Danio rerio: one gene and its partner. The protein of the gene in region 2 interacts with the protein of the main gene of each other region in a pairwise test. Links are inferred from orthologs where the notes say so. Each region holds a gene or a part of one and is shown on either strand. Other genes may lie near its edges.

Region 1 (5,968 bases), on a different chromosome or scaffold from region 2:
ATATATATATATGTATATATATGTATATATATATATATATATATATATATATATATATATATATATATATATATATATATATATATATATATATATATATACACACACACACACACACACACACACATATACATGCATACATACAGTATATAGCATGGTTTCAATGAAAAATGACCCAATGTTATTTTGAGTTGAAGTCAGAATTATTAATTATTATTGTTTATTTTTTTCCCCAATTTCTATTTAACAGAGAGAAGATTTGTTTAACACATTTCTAATAGTTTTAATAACTCATTTCTAATAACTGATTTATTTTATCTTTGTCATGATGACAGTAAATGATTTTTTGCTAGATGTTTTTTAAAACACTTCTTTACAGCCTAAAGTGAGATTATAGGCTTAACTAGGTTAATTAGGTTAACTAGGCAGGTTAGGATAATTAGGCAAGTTATTGTATAACCATGGATTGTTCTGTAGACTATCAAAAAATATATATAGATTAAAGGGGCTAATAATTTTGACATTAAAATGACTTTTAAAAAATTAAAAACTGCTTTTATTTTAGCCAAAATAAAACAAATTAGACTTTCTCCAGAAGACAAAATATTATCAGACATACTGTAAAAATGTCCTTGCTCTATTGAACCTCATTTGGGAAATATTAAAAAAAGAAAAAAATTCAAAGGAGGTTTAATAATTCTGATTTCAACTGTATAATATTATGTTGTAAAATATAATGGCCCTTTTATAATTCATCAAAAAAAAAAGTTTGTGTTGTTTGTACAATACATACATAAAATGCTTTCAATCATTCCTTTAAAAAAGATCTATAATATAGCATAGTTACCAGTTAGGTGTGTTAGGTGGTGACCGTGAGGGTAGACTCTTGGTCTCCAGTTGTTCCACTGAGCTGGACCTCACCATTGGGTTCAACATTTGCTCTCCTACCAGCTTTCGGTACAGGGGAATAGAGCTTTAACAAAACACATGCAATTAAACTCACATACTCATTTGGTGTTGGCAGCAATGATCTCTAATTAACTCCAGGAATAAAGACTGCCTATTCACCTCAGTTTTGAAGCTGAATGAGATGGTTTCCTGTTGTAGAAGGTGTGGTGGTCCACGCAGGATCTCCACAGGTTCTTACAGGCACGTGAATTTGGCATGGATAGAGAAACCACATGGTGGCCCAGCTCACCCTGTGCAATATATTAAAATGAGGAAAAACACACAACACAAATCATCAAGTCGGAAACAAAGATGTTGCCTTTGCAGTGTTCAGACTCTTTCAGGCATTAAATATGTGGCTTTATTAGGCTAATTTATGTGTTTTGTTTTTGTTTTGATGGATGAGCATGATTAGGCATGCGTATCTTACATGTTTTCGGCGTAGGTGGACAAAGAACCTCTTCCTTTTGAATGAAATTTTGATGATGTTAATCCTGAAAAGAAAGGAGGCATTCAAAAGTGTGCAGAAATAAATGACACCAGAATCAAAACAGTGGTTTGAGGGCTTTTAATTAGACTAATAACACTAATTATACTTTTCTGCAGTGTTTGTAAATTATTCATTGTAATGATAATCACAACACAGATCATAACCCGATAGTTGTAGCACTCTCAAACGTCAATTATAGTAGAGAGAAACATTAATGTTAAAAAAGTGGACTTTTTAAGAACAAAAATTAAGCATGTGTCAAAATATGTACTTACAAAGAGAGAAAGGGAAAGGGATCTGATTGGCAGAACTCACCAGGGGAAAAAGCTGGAGCAAATTAAATGACAAAACAAGGCCACGCCCCCTGATGTAATGCCCACCCAAACGGCAGGGTTGCTGGCATCCTATAGACAGGGATTAAAAAAAGAGAACTAAATCATTCATCAACATGACCAATTTAAAACAAGATTACATGTTATTATAGCTGCAGGATTTTCAATGCAAATTGCACCTGAGCATGATGCAGCTCCACTCCATACAGGTCTAATGTTCTGGCTGTATTTAAATAGCACAGCTCGGCGTCACTCTGAGAGAGACCTCTGAACACACATTCAGACAAGCACTGTTAAACTCTGCATGCGGTGAAAATCAAATAGGGCACAGTGAAATCAGTGTAATATCTTTTTCCAAATTCAGTTTTGCTTTTTCAAATCACATTTTTTTAAATATATTTTTTCCCATTCCATGCTAATTGGTAAAAAAAATAGTCAAATTAAATTAAAACTATTTATTGAGCGTTAAACTACCATTTAATTTGAGAGATAAGTATAGGGTAAGTTTAACCAGAGAAATATACTTTCATTTAAGGCTGTGCGATTTGGGGAAAATATCTACTTGCGATTTCTTGATTTTTTGACTTTTCGATATTGTGATTTCGATTTGATTTCCGATTTAATTTTGCAGTCAAGCGTTGTCTCAAAATTCTGTATTGTAGCTTCTTACTGCTAAAATGAGGTGAGCGTTAGTTAAAAAAGGAACTTACTCCAACTTCTATTCAAATTTGTTTATAAATATTCAGAAACTAAACATTAATTTGTATCTAGAGCAAACAGTAGTGAGTTCTGGCATTAGTTATCCCCTGGTGCCTTTGTGATGTTTTCATATGGTGTAACAGCTGCAAAAAACACTGAAATTGTCCTTTGCTGTTGCTAGCTACTAGATTGAGTGTCACTGGCAATAAATTTAGTTGACTGTTTAGCAAGACACTCCTCAAATAGCCGCCTGTGGTGCTTTTTTAAGTGCTGGTTGTTGTATTTCCTCATTCTGTGGCAACAATTCTGTGACAGCTCTTACAAATGACCTGTTTTTGTTTGGTGTCTGTGACTTTGAAAGCAAAATATTCCCATATTACTGACATTTACCATCTATTAATGCTTATGAAGCGGCAAACGCCATCATCCCACTTATCCACTCTTTCCTGTTTGTTTGTATGTTTTATTGTGGGCTTTCCACAGTTTGGTTGCGCAATTCTGTTTGGGCAGAACGAAAGTGTGCTCACTCAATTGGCTAGTAAGACTATCACATGCAGAAAGCAGTCATGCATTTGCTCTGGGTGGGGGAAATTATATAATACATATATATTTCATATCGCAGCCTTCTGCGATTAGCTAATCGCAATGTTTCAAACCATGATTGCGATTCAATTAATCGCACAACCCTACTTCCATTAAATCATCACCTTAGAATTATAAGGTTCTATCTGACGTTTTTGTCAAAATTGACATAATCTGATTTAATGACAATTTATACATTATACATTCTGGGATTTTTTTTTTTATAAATTGTTTACATTTTAAGATTTTTTATTTAAAATACAAATGTTACACACATACTGTTTGCTATATGGAATGCAAAAACTTTGAAGCTCATAATTATGTTTACTGGAATTTCACAATAACACAGACATAACAAAACATCTTCAAAAGACAAATATTGACACAAAACAATGGAGAAAAAAGGAAAATAAAAAAGTTCAGATTATATATAAAACAGGACCACACAAAATAAAACAGATCAGAATAAGGGCTAAAAACATCTAATTCAGATAATAATACAGTTTCAACATTCCTTTTCCTTTTTATGATAGGGCAAAGACTAGCTTCTAAATAATCCAAATATGGAATCCAAACTTTGGAAAAATGTTCTGTTTTTTTGGTGTAAAACATGGGTAAGATGTTCCAGGGGAATTAACTCAAAAATGATCTTGTGCATCTAGTGCCAACCTTTAAGTAATGGAGATTTATCACTAATCCAGTAAAGTAAAAAAATTTTCTGGCGGCAAAGGTTAATATATTATACAATTTCTTATTAGCTGATGAACAAATGCATCTATTAGGTATACACAAAATCAGTGAAACTGGGTCAAAATCCAGCTGCATGTTAAAGATCTTTTCCATTTTCCTCAGAACCAAAAACAAAACTTTTGCAGTCTGTTACAGTACCTACATCAGTTTTACATTTTAAACACAGAGGCAAATTAGAAGGGTTAAAAAGATGTCTGTGGTGAGGAGAAATGTGGAGTCATGTATGGAGATATGTATCATTTTATATTGTATTTCTCTTGTACGTGTACAAAGAGATACTTTCTTAGCCTAAGACCAAATGTCATCCAATGTTTCCTCATCAAAATCAGTATCTAAATCTTCCTCCCATTTGGTTTAAAAATCGACCCACATGATGACAAAAACAAGAACCTCTCAATAGAAGATATCTTACAACTGAAAAATCATGTTTGAACAATTGGTACTACAGCATTGCTTTTTAATTATTCATCCACACTTTGCCAGATCTGCAAGTCTGACTATGACAGAATCACCCCCACCCCACCCACATCTATGTGGGGTTTTAATATGTTATGTGCTTATAAATACTTTTTCGCATCTGACTTTCTATGATTTTTAAAGAAAATTAAACTATGGGTGTTGTGTATAGAAGGTAGCTGAGATGATGAATGGCATCATGGCTAGTATATTGACATTAGGAACACATTTTCAGGTGCTTAAAATTCAGTTAAACTACTTTAAAAGCAAATAATTACTATTACCATGTCTGACACTGTAGAAACTAGAGAGCAAGACACAAAATGCCTTACAATTCTGGTAACATTTCACTCTTTATTTTGAACCTGCATGGTTAAATTAATCCAACATTGTCACTTGTTATTGTGTAATGGTAAAGAGATAGTTCACCCTTCACAAAAAAAAAGAAAAAGAAAATTAAAACCCTAAAGTGGTTCCAAACCTTTTTAATATTCTTTATTCTGCTGAACATAAAAGAAGATGTTTTAAAGAAAGCTGAAAGCCGCTAACCATTAACATTCACACTATGAAAAACAAATACCACGTAGGTCAATGGTTACAGTTTTCCAGCTTTCTTTAAGAGATCTTCTTTTCTTTTTGGTTGAACAGAAGATATAAACTCAGCGAGGTTTGGAATAAGTGTAGCATGAATAAATGATGACAGAATCTTCAGTTTTGAGTGAACTTTTTTTAAGTAAAAGCAGAGCAGGTAGTGCCACGTGGTGTGACTAAAGCCTAGTTCACACTACAGGATTTTTTTTAACATCAGCAGTTCGCTGTGCCGTTCACACTACATGACTTGACTTTGTGTCTTTTAATCTCTGAGGTGTTCACACTACGCAACACTCTGTGAATGATCCACAAGAGGGGGGTCACACACTACATGATCTGACAACAACTCATTCCCCATCAGCTCATTCAAGCTACCAAACCACAGCCAATGAAATTTTGAGGGAGGAGTCGTCAGAAAAAGCTGAACACTATTGGCTGCTTGTGTGCTGATTACATCACTGACAGCGTTTCAAGCTTTGGAGAAAGCATTTAAAAACATCGTCAAATCAGCTGATTTATCAGCGGATTAATCACTCATCTGCAAGGTTCCAGTGGATTGATACACAGAGAGTTTTTAATTTTTGTAATTTTATAACTCTTTGAAATAAAACTAACATATTTATAACACCCTGCGGTTTTCTTACTATCAGTGTATTTCTTTCTGACATTGTTATTTTTTTATACAAAGAACTAAGCATTTTCGCCTTAAATTACCATATTGGTTAAAATGACTGCATGCATGTCTGATACTTTTCGCTGTGACTTTAAATATGTGTGCATTTTCTTGCCTAGCAATTTCCTGCTAACATAAACAAAACTTTCTGATGGCAAAAACATCAATTTACTTCCGATATCTTTCAAAACAGCATATACTGTGCTGTGAAATAGCTCCTGTTTGAAAGTGAAAATGAAAGCCAAGCCTTTAAGTGTTTTAGTATCTTAACTACATATTTATAGGCTGTATTACCAAAAAAAGATTATATTTTTAGGGTAATGGTGTCATTAAATATGATGCCAGACTATCAAAGCTTAATTTTAATATCTCAATAATAGCTTTGAATGTAAATATGTTGTGACAATATGGCGTTTTATATGAGAACGGTCAGAATGAGCAGTATGG
Region 2 (6,481 bases):
CAATCCGAATTCTGGACTTGGATGCTTGCAACCTCCATCACACAATAGGACTGGAATTCAGATCCTCCTTGCCAAATGACATCCCAGATGTCACCTTGACTTAAGCAAACCTCACCTTGATCCGTGCAGACCAGAATTGCATTTGATTCACCCTCCCCCACTAATCGCACTACTTTGGGACAACCATGCCCTCTGAACCCAAGATCCAGTTGAGTCTCTTCCTGAGTTTCTTCACTGATTTTCTTACCCTCTGCCACTCTCCACAACCTTACTCCACCATCAGCACCTCCAGTAGCCACCCATCCCGCCCTACAGCTTATACTTCCCTCGCTTACAGCCAGAGCCCTCACGCCACCTGACTTATGCCCTCTAAATGCACATCCCACCTTCCCTTCACCTCCCCATTCCCAGAGCAGGCATGCACCATCTTCACCAGCACTAAATAAGCGGCTTGGTGTAAGCTTTACACAGAAGACTCGTGCTTGATGTCCATAAAGCACCCGAAGACACGTTGGCGATTCCTTTCCACAACCTGCATCTCCACCCAATGTGCCAACGCTCCACAAACGAACACTGCGGTCATCTGAAGCAGATGCCAGCCACCCAGATTCCTGAAGGTAGCAAAGGCTGAAAATGACTCCACTGTGGCCCAGTAGACGTCTCTCTACTTGGGACTGACCACTGAGCTTGGTTCCAGCTGGCCTCCACAAAACAAGCTGGTTGAAGACCGTCCCACCCACCAGCACTACAGAGTCCCAATTTGGACCAACCATAAGTGCTGAGTAAAGAAGACAAGTCTCTACGCACGAGTAAAAGGAGATAATGTTACCAGACTCTGCTTCTAGGAGCATGATGGCATTGTGGGCCAAGGATATGCCTAACAGTGAATGAGGTTGTCTTTTAAAACAATGAATGTCCAGCACCCAGTCTTGAAGCTCCAAGAGAGGACCAATCAGTTTCAGGCACTGCCCTTCAGATTCGAAGCTGACAAGCCGAACTCCTTTTCCTCCAAAAACAATAATATCTCCCTTGTAGCTGTTGTCCGAAGCAGAGCTTGCACCACTAAACGGTATTCCTCCAGACTGATGTTTTTTATATGGTCGTATCCCATGGATACGGTAGTTTTGGAGTACATTTATAGATGCACATTTCTTAGGAGATGCTTGAAGACTGTAGACAGAGAGGATTGGTCCCTCCCCTACAACACAACACAATTGATAGGGAAGAATCAATCAAATGAATTTTAATATGAGACACAAGTGCACTTCAACATAACATTCGAATATTATTAAAGAAGGAAATCTTAAAGCTAAATCAGTTTATTTGGTGAAAACATTGATAGTAGTGCAAAGCAGGCAATTGAACACAGTTACAAACAAAACATCTAAAACATTTAAAATAGGCAACATTGCAGAATTAGAATTTGTAAAATCAATAGCAGAAAATTATACAACTATGGAAAAACAAATGAGGGGATTACAGTGCAATTTAGAGCAACCTCATTATGAAATAAACACAAACACAATGGCTGCATCCAAAATCGCATATTTGCATACTATATAGTATGTTAAAAACAGTATGCAAACCGAGTAGTACATCCGAATTCATAGATTTAAAAAAACAGTATGCGAAAAGTACCCGGATGACCTACTACTTCCGACGAGAATCTGAAATGCATATTTGATGCACGCTACGCTATCACATGATGCCCAGTGAGAGAATTTATGAATGTGAGTGAAGCAACGCAACTGATGTTTTGGTCACATGATGATGACAGAATGGCAGATGTAGTAGGTCAGAGTTTCATTCATACTACTTACATTCATACTTTATAGAACATACTTTTTAAAAGTAGAGTAGTAAATTCAAATACAGTGCATTCTGAGTAGTAGACAATTTCGGATGCAGCCAATGTCATTGGGATTATTAAATGCACTAAATTTACCTAAAATAATTTGAGGGACATTAGGAGACACTTCAGGTTGCTTAGAGAAATCACATCCATATTGGCCCATGAGTCACAGTCTACATAATTTACTTCACCGTGGATTGTTAGCTTGTTGATTTGCTTCCTGTTCATTAAAAGAATGAATGTCAGTCACCTGTCAAAAGAAAATCCTCCCCTAGGAATTCCAGTGCAGTGATGGGAGCAACAAGCACAGCACTCTTCACCACAGCAGACTCTACAGGAGATGCCATTTCACAGTCTGCACAGCAGGCTGTAGACTTCTGGGGCACACACACACACACACACACACAAACATTACAGCATTATTCATTACTGACTGATCTCCTGAAATGTCATTTTCAAAAGGCAGAACCTGAACAAATGCAAAATGCTTGCTATGGCATTTATTACACGATCAAATCGATGTTATGATATAATAATAATTAACCTACTAGAGCTGCTGGTCACATGGCAGTTACCAAAGCTACTAAATTTGTTTAAATAATTTGGAATAATATAAAACAGAGCTGTCCAAACTTGGACAAAAGTTGGCCCACGGTAACCTTTGATTTGGCCCTCCATCCCATCTAAGAGGAGAGGTAAAACGATGGGGAATTTTGGGGAGAATGCCAATTTTATTTTTACATAACTTTTGTTTTTGTAACTGTCGAGGTAAAAAAAAGGCAGACTGAAATTAAACGTTTCACATAAAGCTATGAAAAGCTATGAATGAAAGCTATGAATCAGAATTAATTTTAATTAATTAAAAAATATTTAAAGTAATTTGATGGATAGCGGACATTGCAGAAGACATCAGCAAGCCAATTAAGGCAAAATGATTTTTGTGTTATAAATGGGATTGTTTATGTTTTTTATTGTAAGATGTTCATTATAAAATGTACAAAAGTTTATAATTGTTAATGCAATAAAAATATTTTAAATGCAATAAATTATGGAATTAATTAATTTATATAATATAATAATAAATTAGAAAATAACATTGACAACTTCATGGTTTGGTATATTTACCTCTGGCCCACCACTCTCAATCAAGTTTAGTTTTTGGCCCTTCATAAGAAAAGGTTGGGACACCCCTGATATAAAATAATTTGGGGATACTTGGCAAAATTTGTTTTTAATACTGAAAAACAAAAATTAAAAGTTTCATATCTGATATAAATTGCATATTTTCCAATTAGTCTTTTTAATTTTAAACTGCAAGTAGTGTATATATAATTTATTATATGAAAAAAAAATTAAGTTTGAGGTTAATATGTCAGAAAGCTATCTTTCTGTATGATTTTGTTTGAGTGTTGAGGCAAATATTTCTGCTTGAAGTCGTTTCCCATTAATTTTCACTTCGGTCATTTTTTATCACAATTAACAAAAGTGTGATTATTATTTGTTGTTTCAGGAATATTTTAGCTCTTTATGAAGGCCTTTATAAATCAGATTAGGTAAAAAAAAAATAAATTAATGAATGAAAACATGTCAAAAATTGATAACTACATTTTAAATTAATTTATCATAATTGCAAAACAAAATTGAGTATTGTGCATCCTAATGCAAATATTATGTTGGATATTAATTTTATTTTACAGTAATTGAAATAAAACCACAACACCCTTACTTTAAAAATGTATTTCATTATCTTTACTTTAATTATTCTAGATTATTGACACATGATGTGGATTATTAAGATATGTCAAGTAAACAAACTTTCTTAACTGAATAATTAAGCCCAGACTAACATCACCCATTTACAATTAATTCCAGTTTCCTTTATATTACACGTATATCTGTACTTTGAAAATAACGTAAACCATCACTGTCTAAAGTTAGAAACAAATGATAAAGGGTCTTTAGCCAGCTGGTGTGCAATGACTGTTAACTGCAGTAGGATTAAATTCAATTTGAGATACATGATTTTCCAAAAGGCAGTTGCAATAAAATGTGCTTTTATAAACGATTATCGGTTTACTTTTTACAATAATGAACGTCAGTAACTTATCAGCAAGACATATTTACCATAAAGTGGATCTTCCAGCAGTGATTTTACACGTTTCTCGTACAGTTGTAGCAACCAAAATTCAATTAGCTTAAATTTCACAAACCTGTCTCCTGTAGAGATCGTGCCTTTATTTTAAAGACAATAAAAACAAGGTCGTTTATACTGCATCAAGCATGTTTCGTACTGTATGCATGTGTTTTCACTTCCTCGTTGACACCGAGTACCGTCCAATCGCGCTGTTCAATACTACACACACCGAACCACACTGACAACCGATTGGCTGAAACCAGTCCTGCGCTTTCCACTGTGAAAACGCGTAGATTTGTGCAATTTGCCAGATGCACAAACCATATGTATTGAGCAGATCTCATGAGAATGGTATACAAATCATACGAAATGCACAAACCAGTGAATTGCCTTTTTTTACGCCCTGAGCGTCATTTTGCGCATGTGTCTCCGGTCTGTTATTTAAATTTCTTATGGACCGCTTAAACCCAGGGGGTGGGGACAAAGTGTAATATTTTCGGGATAAAATCGACAGCCTGATGATTGCATGTAAGTAGTGTCAATGTGGATAATATAATAACAGTTGTCATACGCTGTGTGTGTGTAAATGCACAATAGCTTAATTAAGGAGAGTGGTCTCGGGATAGTCTTAAACCGCAGCTCGGGTTCACTTCTAGTGCGATGCTCGGGTTTAGCGCTATGGCTAGCATGACCGGCGGACAAATACAGTTATAACAATTAGTACCGTAACAATGAAAATGCTGCACCTGCACCTGTAGGACTTGGCGAGACATGCATTTAATTGCTTGATTTTTTTTTCTTTGTTCATTCTTTAATAACGATGCGATTCACTCTGAGCGAATTGTTCTTTTGAGTCTGACCATTAATGAATCAGTTGAGCTGGTACACAAAACCGAACGATTCCGAACCGAATCGCAGCGAGCCGAGCAAGCATTTGGCCTAAAAAAAAAAAAACTTGTGTTAAAGCAGCCACTAGAATATTTTGTACAAACATTAGTAGCAGCGCAGAGTTTAGTGCAAAAATACAAAGAATTGTCAGCCAAGAGTAGTCTTGTAAATATCTATTATGTTAATTGCAAAAATTACCTTTATGACAATTTATTTAACAAACTTAAAATTAATGTAAACATTTACAATGTATGTAGAAATAAAATTAAAAAGTCTCAAAGGGATATTTAAAAAAAAGAAAATTTACTGGAAATACGCCAGGGCCATCCAAACTCTGTGCTGGAGGGCCGGTGTTTTGCAGAGTTTAGCTCCAACCCTAATCAAACACACCTGGACCAGCCAATCAAGCAGGTGTGTTAAAGCAAGTTGAAGCTAAAGTCAAGACACCGGCCCTTCAGGACCGAGTTTGGACACATCTGTCCAAGGCCATCCAATTGTATAGTGACTAGGCACAGGATGATAACTGGCTAACATTTTCTTTTATACTGTTCCTAAGGTATTTGTAGTTTTTAAAATGTTTTTTATGACTAATTTAGTTTTTGGGCAGCAGTATCTCCAGAAGAAATTAACCCTCCACATCAAAAGCTACTGGTCAGCCTGCAATTCAGGAAATATTTGAGAAACAAATTATAAACTATAACATCCAAACATGCTTTAGACCTGAAAAGTGCAGAGACTTACTTTAAATCCAAAGAAAAGTATATCATCTTTGCTTCAAATTCCAAAAAAAGAATTACCGCTTGTGGTAACCGCTCTTTTAATGCAGTGTCTATGGGACAGGAAATTCAATTTTACTTTATTCTCTCCTCTGGCTGCCAATTCTTTTCCTCTTTTTGAACGTCTTTAAATAGGTATGTAAATTTTTTTTTAGATAGTTAGATATCAAAAGATGCCTTTTAAAGTTGCAAAGAAATCTGTTTTTGAAACTAATGAAGATTTTTATTATGTCGCCTGACATGTTTACTGTTTCAAAATATTGAAAATGTTTCTTAAAATAAAATGTGTTGTGTTCAAAGGGGGGGAAAGTTGTTTGTTTACCCAGACATTTAAAAAAACATAAACAACTCATTTTAGAGCGGTAATCACAATACCAAGAAACTGGGATATTTTTATCCAAGGTTATCATACCGTCAGAATCTTATACCAGCCCATACCTAGTAGTGACTTATTTAATTCAGTCTGTGTAAATAATTCATTACAGTTCAACTATTTATTTTTTTACAACATTATTCCACAGGCTCACCAAATGGTCCTGAATGTGTTTACAAATCTTGTCACATATCTGTAAATAATATTTCGTGGACAGACGGATCGATTTTCTTCATAAGACTTCAGTGTATGTACAGGAACAACTCATTAGTTTAGTTTTGCCTATATATATATATATATATATATATATATATATATATATATATATATTTATATATATTTCTTTGTTTGAGTCCCAAAGTTCTGGTAGCCATTGACTTGCATTTTATAAATGACCAATAATCCAAATGCAATCTCAAACATAACTGTAACTTATAGCGTGGAAAAAAGAATGCTAT

What was found.
Region 1: the proteins of wdr6 (region 2) and ptpn3 interact in binary tests that used the Homo sapiens proteins (3 or more experiments, as listed by UniProt). The two-hybrid records come from large-scale screens. The link is inferred for Danio rerio from reciprocal best matches to the Homo sapiens genes WDR6 and PTPN3.

Annotation. Positions count from the first base shown.
Region 1 is NC_133191.1:29,689,450-29,695,417, reverse strand, and holds part of ptpn3 (tyrosine-protein phosphatase non-receptor type 3), read right to left. Parts: intron 2,038-5,968; coding exon 1,950-2,037; intron 1,843-1,949; coding exon 1,754-1,842; intron 1,443-1,753; coding exon 1,379-1,442; intron 1,200-1,378; coding exon 1,069-1,199; intron 974-1,068; coding exon 848-973; intron 1-847.
Region 2 is NC_133183.1:28,127,226-28,133,706, reverse strand, and holds the start of wdr6 (tRNA (34-2'-O)-methyltransferase regulator WDR6), read right to left. Parts: upstream 4,167-6,481; 5' UTR 4,063-4,166; exon of another isoform or gene 3,980-4,062; coding exon of another isoform or gene 3,977-3,979; intron 2,230-3,976; coding exon of another isoform or gene 2,200-2,229; coding exon 2,103-2,199; intron 1,199-2,102; coding exon 1-1,198. UniProt on the Homo sapiens protein: Together with methyltransferase FTSJ1, methylates the 2'-O-ribose of nucleotides at position 34 of the tRNA anticodon loop of substrate tRNAs. Required for the correct positioning of the substrate tRNA for methylation.